Linked DNA regions of Cricetulus griseus. The protein of the gene in region 2 interacts with the protein of the main gene of each other region in a pairwise test. Links are inferred from orthologs where the notes say so. Each region holds a gene or a part of one and is shown on either strand. Other genes may lie near its edges.

Region 1 (3,654 bases), about 31 Mb from region 2:
AAACTAATTTAAAAAAAAAACCCTTTCCAAATTCCACATAAATTGTCTTAAACTTGGTTGTAATTCAAAATGGCAACATCTTATTTTGAAAAAAGAAAAAAAAAGGTTGTTTGATAAAATGTAAAACACATTTTTATTCAATTTAAAGATGTTATCATTTGTTTAAACCAAATCATTTTTGAAGCCAAATTTGAATTAGTATAATAAAATGCAATTAAAAAGAAATTAATTTTTTCCCCATGACAATGATGAATCCCCATCATGTGACACCTAGCTCTAACTAGTATAAAGCAATGTGGTACAAAGTTTAGATTGTGACCGGTTCAAGTAAGAAATTTAAGCCAACATCCTAAATGATTAATATTGTTTGTCAACTAAAGTCATTTAGGGACTGGACCTTGTTATTGCTGTGTTCTGCAAAAAAGACACTTCATATCACATATGTGTGAAGTGTAACTTTTAAATGTACCTAGCTAGCACTGTGTGAAAAATAGGAGCATATTATTCATTCGATTGTGTGCTCTAGTTCTACCTTATTTTAAAATAGGTATTTTTAATGGAATTCAATAGAATTGCGTTATTAAAGCTATGGAGACTGCATGACTGGGCAGCATAGATTAGGTGGCTATTCTTTATGTGTTCAAATGTCAAAAACGCAATGAAGAACCCAGGCACTTCTTACCAGTAATGAAGGAGTGTTGATATCTATGTGCTCAAAGACTGTGAATTCCTTCTTTAACTTTACTGGTAGAAGCCAAGGCCTATGCAATTCAGCTTTCACCCAATAGCGCACACTACCGTGTCGGCCTTCGAATGAGGTAGCAAGTGGTCTGTGCAAAATATAAAAATGGAGATATTAATCTTACACCTCTTTCAAAAATTCAATAGTCGATCAGAATAAACACGTTACCATGTTGTACTGTCTATGAGGTACCACGTGTATAAAGGCATCACCATGTTGTACTGTCTGTGGACCAATGAGGTACCACATGCATAATCTCTTAAAACTCTCCAAAGGGGATATGATAAGTCACTGGGGAAAGGCCTTTTATTTTCAAATAATGATAAGAGTTAAATGTAAGAGAAATTTTGTTTTTAATGCCAGAAGAATACAACCCCCTTAAACTAAAGAGTCTACTTTTAATGTTGGTGGCAAAATCATGAAAGTTAAATGAACTATTCTTGAAAAGGTAAGCATTTTAATTTTAAAGTAAGTATGGCCTCACTATTTCTACCTAAAAATCCCAGACCCCAGTCAAACATTCAGGAAAAAAAAAAAAGAAGAAGAAAAAAAAAAAAACCCTCCCTATAGTGCTCTACTTTTGTTAGCTAGGAATTAGAACCTCTTTTTATAGCAACTAATTAGCACAGAAAAAGCCTAGAATAGTCTCACAATTTCCTATTTCATAAATTCATAGAAACAGAGAGGGTGCTTTTTACACCCTGTCCAGCCAAATTCTAACTCTCCCGTGACTGTTTTCCACCTTTTCCTTCCAAGGCTTGAAAAGAAAAATCTTCCCATTAACCTAGGTCAGATAATCAGAACTGTTTCTGGACTTGGCCAGGTTGGAGGTTTTGTTGTCTGTAGGTTTTAACAAGCAATCTGCTCCATTAGAGAAATGTGCAGTGCTGTTACTTAGAAGGCCATATTAGATTGGTAGAAGCACCAGTATTTTACAATGACTATAAAGTCTATGTAGAATTCCAAGTAAAATTAGTAAACAGAATTATATATATCCAAGGCACGACAGACTGTCATTATGAGTTAAGTTTATTATATAGATCAATTAGTGCCAGTTCATAAGTTTTAGTAGCAGCTAAAAGGCATTATGCAAAAATGTTTACATTCTCTCCCAGAAAGTTGTTAAAATGCTGAGAATGTACTGTATTTCAAGCTTTCCACTAAGGTAGCTCTGAGACACTTCCTTTTAAGTCCAGGTTATGCTATCTTACGTAATGTCCCCAGTAGTGGTAGCTCTGTGTACAGAAGCTACTGAATTTGTGTCTAAAGAAGGGGACTCCTTGAGTTAGGGCAGTCTTATGGTTACTTTCTAACATTAACCACTCACATTAGCAGAAAAGGTGGAATTCTGAATTCTGATCCATCGAGCTACTGAGATTCAAGTGAAGTCTCTTTTAATAAAGGACAGGCTAGTCAGAAATTTGATTGAAGACTGTTTGATTAGCACCTTAGGACTCACCAGTGCTAGATTAAATATTAATATTCTATATCCTCCAAACACTACTGCAGAATACTAACAACTGACTGAGTGTGCTTTCTGTAATTTTGCCACATTAAAAATAGCTCCTTCTATTAATTACATTGTTTTCCTCGACCAAGTTTCTGTAATGAAAAGGGTTTTTTTCAAGAAAGAAAAAAAATACTAAAGTATTTAAATATGGAGTATTTACAGATTGTGCTTAACTAAGTATGTCCAAGAAAAATCCTACTACTTATAATACTTACGTCTGTGGAAGCTCGAAGCTAAATGCATATTCATGCCTTCCTGAATGAATAGTGTTGAACCCTTCTTCGGAATTATCATCATCTAAAAGGAACAAAAAGAAAACAAAAATCTTGTCGTTAAAGGTCTACATTCTCTGGCAGCAATCTTCATGGATGTTGTTCGTTATCATAGCCACATGCTTTCATCTTATAGATCAGAGTTCTAATCCCAACTTCATTATTTGTTCTGGCTGAAAAAAACCCTTGTTCTTCACCTTCCTCATCACCAAAATAGGGATGATGAACACTTACACTTATAGGCTGTTTTATTTTAATGAAAAAAAAAATCCAAATAGAGAAAAAAAATTTTTATCAAATACAGTATTTAACAAAAGGTTCAGGTATCTTGACCACCAATTGCTTAAGTGTGCATAAACTAAAAACGAACTTTTTTAAATTGCCAGTTTTAGGTGAATATTGACTTTCTTGAGGCAACTATTCATGTTGCACCCAGGAAGCAGAGGTGGGAGGACCGCTGCAGGGATTCAAGGCCAGTCAGTGGGGACCCTGTCAAGGGGAGGTGGGGTTTCAGTAACATCTCAAAGCTAAAAATATTCACTTAGACAATATTCAAAACTCAATTGGTTTGAAGCAGCAACTAACATCAGGCTTTTAAGTTTAATTACAAAGGACTGAATTTAAAATGTCTTTTTACAAAGAAACATTTTGTTCAACACTTGAAAAATTAAGTTTAATTGGGTAGTTTTCACTTTTGAGGGGTGTGGAGGTGGGGTGTAATGACATTTCATTTTACAACTAATTTTTTTTGCTCGAATTCATTATGTGTGTCATGAAAATAAACTAACAAAAAATGTGGAAAAGGTTTAGGTAATTCGCCAACCTGCTACTTGCTTTTCTTGGTGTGAAATCCTTTTTAATTAGCTGGGGGAGGCACTGGTGTAAGGCACTGTATCTTTATATTTTTCTTCACCGAAGTATTGTAAATACACAAAAAACCATGACTTTCATCCCCAAATTATGGTGACCCGCCTATGTCTGACACTGCTTCCCGAGCCTCCCGTGGAGCCCCCAACAGTGTGTTAACCCTGGAGCCGGGCCGGGGAGCCGGGGCTCCTCCATCAGCCCTTCCAAGGCGCCCAAACTTTGCCTCCCTCCCGGTTCCCTTTTGTGCCAGCTCAGCAGTCTCA
Region 2 (3,654 bases):
TCTTCATCCATCCATCTGGTGATCATCACCTAAGCTGATTTTTGTAATCACAGGAAGGAGACAAGAGATCTGAACTGGTTAAATTCAATGCCTCCCAGGCAGACTGACCTGAGTTAGAATCTTGACTTTGTTGATGTCAAGCTAAGCATGTCATTTAACCTTTCTGAGTTTCCATGGCCTCATCGATAAAGTAAGACAACTCATGCCAACATCTCATAGGGATGCTATGAAAATGAAATGAAGGAATGTTGCCTGGAGCACTTAGCAAAGTGCTTACTATACATTATGGTATTATAATAATAGCTAACCTGACAAACATCTACTTGCTGTATGCCAGACTCGATACCAAGGCTTTGTGTACCTTAATTTGTCATGTAGTAATAACAGTGGTGGAGTATGCATATATGACTGTCCAACCTATGTTTACCATTCTGAAAGTACTTCCTAAGTCACACTCAAAAGGATGGCAGAATGGTATGTTTACTGCTATTGCATTACTGTGCCATTGTGTATGACTTTAATCTGAAAATCTCAAATCTACAAATCTGACTGGATTTGGGAGCATTTAAGTTTTGATTAGGGATGATGAGATGGCAAAGTCTATGTAAACATTCAGGAATATGAAAGACTCTGCAATCTGAAATAATATTGGATCCAAGCACTTTACATAAGAGATTGTTAATCCATCCTGATTAAGAACAGACTTAAATATAACAATTTCAGTTGGGAACAAGAGAGCAAGGCCGGGAACTCCAGGATCCAAAAGGGTTATGAGTATGAACTGATGTTTTCTTACCAGGTCCACTGTCCTTCAGGGTCACCAGGGGTACAAAGTGCTGGCTGTCATAGCCAAGGACAATGGGGTATCTGTAGCATTCCGGGGCGGGCCAGTGGAGAGGCAAGTAAATCCCACCCACTTTCAAAGGAGCAAAATTGGAACCCGATTCCAAGCTTCTTAGCATTTTGTCTGTTAACAGGAAGAAAAAAAAAAAAACAAAATAAGACCCTGGGTGACTTTCATGAAGCTGTTGAGGAGCCTGGGTTTCTCCTCAGAGCTAAAGCAGCATGGCTGAAAAGCATTTGGAAAAACAAGAAGAAACGAGGAGGCACCTCACCTGAAATGACAATGATGGGTCTTCTGAGGATGTTGCTGAGGACAAATATGTGGATTTCTTCCAGGGAATTATACTGAAGTCCACTTCGGGCTGCGGGAGTGTCTGCCGATGCCATTTTGACCAAATTGTCCCATTCATCATTCCAGTTCTAAGGGAAGGGGAGAAGAGAGGAAGGAAAGGACGGGTTAGCAAGTCACTCAAATGTCACTCTGCATTTGTCCCTGTTAAGAAATCCCATTCATTCTTCTCCTTCATTGAAACAATTGCTTGGATGTTCATCCTCTCCCCCATTTTGGTTTTTCTCCTTTACATTTTTCCACTGCAGAGCAAAGTCAAAGCTGAAGGGAGATACAGACAGCCTTTGCTTTCAGAAAAATTCCCTACCTGGGGCAGGGGGATAGCTCAGTGTTTTCCTAACATGCATGGAGTCTTGGGTTTATATCTAGCACCATGTAAAATCACATGGTGATGCATGTCTGCAATCCTAGCACTGTGGAGGTGGAGGCAGGAAGGTCATCTTCAGCTACATAGCAAGGTCATTTTCTGCTACGTAGCAGGTTCAAGGCCATACATGATACTCTAGCTCAGGGAAGAAAAAAAAAAAGCTTGAGGAGTAAGAGGTACATCCTTCCCTGGATTGATTGGCTGGGAAGTGCCTAAGGAAAGACCATGGTTGGAAGACCTGCCATGACAAAGAAATGCACGCCTAGGGATCTGATGCTTACAAGCCTGAGAAGTGAATTGCTAACTGGGGTTAATCCCACAGAAGGTTCTTGGTGTTTTCCACTTGGTGCACTGCTTAGCTCAACTCATATGACTTGTAAGTCATATGTTCCTCAGGGAACAGGGACTGGCCCAAAGTACCCTTTGTCCACCGTGGAGCTGTCAAACAAGAGCCAAACATACCCGAGTGTCGTAGCAAAGTCCTGTTTCCACAAATTCCTGTGATTTCAGAGACTCCAGCTGCCAGCGGAATTTAAAGTTTCGTGTGTCTGTCTCCTTAAGGGTGTTGCAGAGGGCCTTCCTCAGGACCAAGTCCGTATCCTGAACACCCCACATGTACTGACAAGCTGCATGCATGAGGCAATTTCCATCACCTGAGGACAGAAGGGAGCCGTGAGGAGCAAGTTAAGCAACCCAAAGTGAAGGGAAGGAATGCCCAGCAAACGTTTTCTGGATAAATTAAGCCCACTGCTGGAGGACTGTGTGGTTGATTCTTAATGAAGGGCCAGCTGGTAACATTCCATAAGGCCATGGCAGATGTACGGAAAAAAATTCTTTTTGTTTTTCCTTTTAGGGGGAGGAGCCAGATGACCTCCACTGTAGCATGGCTCTGCCCCTGACTAATTTGGATGATCTTGGGAACATTCCTGAGGTCTTCTCTACTTTGTGGAATGAGGGCACCAGCTTATGAACTCTATAGCTCTCTCTTCCTATTGGTCTTTGGCTTGCTGGCTAAGGACCTGGCACTCCTGCTGTCTAGCTCTCAGGAAGGTTTCACATCCAGGACAGTACACACACCAGGAAGCCACTGTAGCTTGGCCTAAGATAGGGCTGGTCTGGCTATGACTCAATGGTAAGTGACTTGGCCATTCCACTTTAGCTTTGGGGACCTGGGAGTTTCCTCTCCTAGCTTACCAAATGGGATTGACAGTACCAAATGACCTGTAGCCTGCTGCAGGCCCTGCCCCAGCCTCTGGGGCATTATGGGAGCCTGCTTGTAAACAATTATAAAGCCCTTTAAAAGAATTAAAAGGTAGTCGGGCATGGTTGTGCATGCCTGTAATTCTAACATTTGCGAGGCAGAGTTGAGAGAGTCAGAAGGCCAAGTTCATCCTTAGCTCCAGAGTGAATTGAGTATTAGCTTGAACTACAGGAGACCCTGCCTCAGTTATCAGTCAGTCAGTCAATCAACAAGCAATTACAAAACAAAAGTTAAAAAGTATTGACATTTAAAATAATTCAGTGTTTGAGGCTAGCATTTTGAGAAAAAGACAAGTCTAATTCTTTCACTAATTTGTGACTTTTCCAGGATAAAAGTCACAATTCAACAAACTATGCTCTTTCAGTCTGTACATTCATCCTTTTCACTTCTGGACATCAAACCCAGGGCCCCATGAATGCTAGGCAAAGGTTCTCTCTACCAGTGAGTTGCATTCAGTCTCTGAATGTATTCATTTTCATGCCCAAAAGAGTAAACATTTGGGAGGACAGTTGGATATAAAACTAGCCAATTCTTCATTCTCTTTTGGAAAGTATTACATATTTTTAATTTAAAAAGCTAAAAGTTTGGGGGTTTTTTGTTTTGTTTTACATTACTGTCAGTAAAGCAATAAAGCTATTTGAAATTCCATCAAATTCTAATTATAGTGAAACTGTAAACAACCTGTCAAATACGTATGCAGAGCCTGTCAGTATTCCCTCAGTGTGCACCCTTCAAACAACTCGCTGAACTAGTGAACAGAAAAGCTCATTTGAGCCCAGTGTCAGGCTGAGGTGTGGCAAGGGCTGCATTCTGTTGAAATTTCCCCTTTGCAAA
Region 3 (3,694 bases), on a different chromosome or scaffold from region 2:
ACACAAATAAAAACTAAAATTAAATATTTTTAAAATAAAAAGAGGTCTTGTCAAAATTAATTTCCCAGAACTAGAAGTATATCTCAGCAATGGAGTACTTGCCAAACATTCACCAGACTCTGGATCCCCAGCAGTACCCAAAAAAGTGAGTCTCCCAAATCCACTTCTATCCACAACTTCCCTTACTATCAGTTGAAAACAAATCCATCCCCCAACTATCAGGACAAAAAATTTGAGCATTTCTGAGTTTTTGCTTGCTTGTTCGATTAGTTTTTCTGTTCCTTTATCTTCCCCCCTGCCCATCTTTTTAATTCATGAAGACACACTATAACATTAGGTATTTTAAGTGTGATCATGGTGTTGTAGTTATGTTTATTGAGAGTACTTTCTGAAAGAGATACATAATGAAACACTCACATGTCTGAAATTCACTGCATAACAAAAGAGATACCTATGGATAAACCCAATAGAAATGAAAACACATGTCCATATATAAATGATCACAGCAGCATTATTCAAAGCAGCCAGAGTGGAAACAATCCAAATGTCCACCAACTGATGAATAAGCAAAATCTGTTACAAAAACAAGAACACATGCTCCAAATAATTGCTAAGAGAAAGAAATGTCACTAAAAGCTATATACTGTATATACTTACAAGCATAAGAAATATCCAAAACATGTAAATCCTGACAGAAAGTAGTTTAGTGGTTACTTAGAGAAATGAGGTGGATTGGAGTTTCTTATTTAGGATTTCTTTTAGGGATGATGACAATGTTCCGCAATTAGTGATGTTTTCACACTCCTATGAACCCACTAAAAACCACTGAATTATACACCTTAAATACGTGAATTGTAGCCAGATGTGGTGGTGTACTTCTGTAAATCCTAGTACTTAGGAAGTAAAAGCAGGAGGATGAGAAACTCAAAAAGAAGGGATCTTCATGAGACTCTCTCCAAAAATTTTGAATTATGGGCAAGTGACACATCTCAGTGGATAACTATTGGTATGCAAGCCTGGAAACCTGAGAACACATTCTGGCCATGACACTCCACACACATCATGCATACACACACACAAATAGTAAATATTTTTAGTTTTTAAATGTGAATGGTGCAGCATGCAAATTATGTCTCAAGAAAGCTGTTTTTGAAAATTATAATGGGTGGAGCAAAAAAGATGATTACTCAGTGGTTAAGAGCACTTGCTGTTGTTGCAGAGACAGTTCCCAGCACCCACATGGTGGCTCACAAACATCTGCAACTCCAATCCAAGGGGACCTCACACCTTCTCCTGAATTCCTTTAGCAACAGGCAAGCATGTAGTACACATACATACTCACAGCCAAAACACCCACACACATAAAATAACATCTTTTCTAAAGAGGAAAAAAAATCATGGTAGAGTACTGTAAGGGCTGTGAATTAAAGTTAGCTATGAGTTGATAGAGACAACTAAGAAATGTGTACATGGAACTTACTATGTTAATATTTCTACTTTTGTACATTTTTAAAGTTTTCAGTAATAAAAGGCTGACAGCACTATCATCCTTCACATGGATTACTGCAATAATCTCTTTACAGATCACCATGCTTTCTTCCCTTGCCTTTTACAATCAATTGACCCCACTGGGACCAGTTACATCAAAGATAACTTTGACTGTTTCTCCCTTTTATCGTGAACCCTTCAAAAACAAAGGCAAAGTCGGTACACTTGAAAAAGCTGAGGCAGGAGAATCTTGTGCTCGTGGTCTGCCTGGCCTACATTTCGAGATGCTGTTTCAGAAAACAAAGTTTCATCAACAGAAAAATGTCTGTGAACTAAGAGTTCTAGCACTTGGGGCCAAGCCCTTAGGCGACAGATAAGCAGAGGGAAGGACAGAAATCAGTCCAAGTAAGCTGGGTCGCGAATCTGCACTTCTTGAATAAATGCTCTAAAAAGCATTCGAAAGCATGCAACAGAACAAACTGGGCCCAAGGTGGGGGGAAGGGGGCTCAGGAGCCTCGGAAGCTGCATAATGGCCACCGATGGAGCCCTATCTTTGGAGAAGAGGACTACACCTGTCAGCAGAGTCGGCCAGAAGTGAAGAGGGCCTGAGCAGCGGAACCCGACCTCTCAGATTGAATCGGAGCTCTCAGAAAGTCCTGGTTGGGCGGTCACCCTTCCCTTCTCGGCTGTGGAAACCCCTGCTTCCGGCTTCCGGTGTCGTAAGTGTGGGATCCGGAAGTAAAACACAGACTCGAAGTCGAGGAGATTAACTGGAGCTGCGAAGCCACAATAGTGCTGCATCCCACTCTGAAGAGAAGCCTCAGACCGCCAGCCTGCATTGGCTAACCGAAGAGCGCAACGCTCTTCACTGATAAAGATCACACACACACTCACACACACACACACTTACACACTTTTTTTTTTTTGATACAGGGTCTCTCTCCTAGCTATCCAGATCTACCTGCCTCTGCTTCCCGGGTGCTTGGAATTAAAGGCGTGTGTCACCTCGCCCACAGTTGTCCCCACCCCATTTTCAAGGCGTCGCATTCGCAATGAAACACCCCAGTTTTAGTCTGGTTCTGTCACTGGGCTCTCTGCCACCAGGTCCCTACCATGGAAAAAGCCTAGAAGAAGCTGCTAAAGGACGCCAAACCGATTGCAAGGGGAGGCGTGGCTATGCTGCTAACGGAAGTGGGGTCATCCAGGAGTGCGCAGGGACTCGAGGGTCCATCGGAAAACAGACCATAAAGTATGGCTGGGGTAGCGATGGGGACGCAGGAGAACTGTGCGGAGCTGTATCTGTGCCAGCAAAGCATCACGATCGCGGAGCAGGAAAGCAGGGACGGCCAACAGGGTGGGGCTGACAAGGGATGCGTGCGCACCTACTTCTGCTACTCTCCCCTCCCTCACCGATGGAGTAGTCCGAAGCTCCTCCTCTCCTGCCTCTCCTGAGGCGGGTCAGCTCAGTCAAAGCACCCGCCCTCCTGCGTTAAACGAGCCAGCTAAGCGCAGCCCCCGGAAACGAGCTGTGCACTCCAGAACTGTAAACCTGTTTGGCAGCAGCAACTAAACACAGGTAAAGGGGGTGGTCTGATAGCACACCGGTGGAGGGATGTGCTTCCCGCTTATGAGCCGCGTGTCCCTTTGATGAGCGCTATTTGTTATGCTTGGATATGGAAAAAGATCTACGAGGTCTTAACCCATCCCATTGTACCCCGCACTTCCCCGCATTAGGCCCATGAGGACTAGACTTTTAGAAGAGAAGGGTCTTTCTGGGATCATTTAGCTTGGCCAGCAGAGAGCTGGGGCTGAACTCCATCATCTGCACAATGAAAAGATGCTCAGTTCATTGTGGCGTTTCTGGCAGAGACTGGAGTGCGATGGCCCCAGACACAGTGCGATGCTCTGACCGCGTCGCTTTCCCAGAGTGGATTCCCTAGCTGAATTCCATTAATGCTTATAGAGATTTCGTAATGTACAGCCCCCAGAGAAGACAACATAGGATATGGCTGGAGCCCAGAAGCAGCAGTTTCTGATTCTGATAAGGTTAAGTTGTCAATGCTCTTCTGTTCTCCTGCCTTATCAATGAGTCTTTCTTCCACCAGAAAACACCATGGCAGAGCAGGTGGCCCTGAGCCGGACCCAGGTGTGTGGCATCCTGAGGGAAGAGTTGTACCAGGGTGATGCCTTCCACCAAGCTGATACA

The links.
Region 1: the proteins of Tnfaip3 (region 2) and Arrdc3 interact in binary tests that used the Homo sapiens proteins (3 or more experiments, as listed by UniProt). The two-hybrid records come from large-scale screens. The link is inferred for Cricetulus griseus from reciprocal best matches to the Homo sapiens genes TNFAIP3 and ARRDC3.
Region 3: the proteins of Tnfaip3 (region 2) and Ikbkg interact in binary tests that used the Homo sapiens proteins (3 or more experiments, as listed by UniProt). The link is inferred for Cricetulus griseus from reciprocal best matches to the Homo sapiens genes TNFAIP3 and IKBKG.

The regions. Positions count from the first base shown.
Region 1 is NC_048595.1:301,357,667-301,361,320, reverse strand, and holds part of Arrdc3 (arrestin domain-containing protein 3), read right to left. Parts: exon of another isoform or gene 3,348-3,654; intron 2,550-3,347; coding exon 2,468-2,549; intron 831-2,467; coding exon 683-830; intron 1-682. UniProt on the Homo sapiens protein: Adapter protein that plays a role in regulating cell-surface expression of adrenergic receptors and probably also other G protein-coupled receptors.
Region 2 is NC_048595.1:270,728,042-270,731,695, reverse strand, and holds part of Tnfaip3 (tumor necrosis factor alpha-induced protein 3), read right to left. Parts: intron 2,213-3,654; coding exon 2,022-2,212; intron 1,264-2,021; coding exon 1,116-1,263; intron 968-1,115; coding exon 797-967; intron 1-796. UniProt on the Homo sapiens protein: Ubiquitin-editing enzyme that contains both ubiquitin ligase and deubiquitinase activities.
Region 3 is NC_048604.1:1,290,563-1,294,256, forward strand, and holds the start of Ikbkg (NF-kappa-B essential modulator), read right to left. Parts: upstream 2,833-3,694; 5' UTR 2,735-2,832; coding exon 2,732-2,734; intron 2,215-2,731; exon of another isoform or gene 2,061-2,214; intron 1-2,060. Other genes in the region: G6pd (glucose-6-phosphate 1-dehydrogenase), read left to right, coding at 3,602-3,694. UniProt on the Homo sapiens protein: Regulatory subunit of the IKK core complex which phosphorylates inhibitors of NF-kappa-B thus leading to the dissociation of the inhibitor/NF-kappa-B complex and ultimately the degradation of the inhibitor.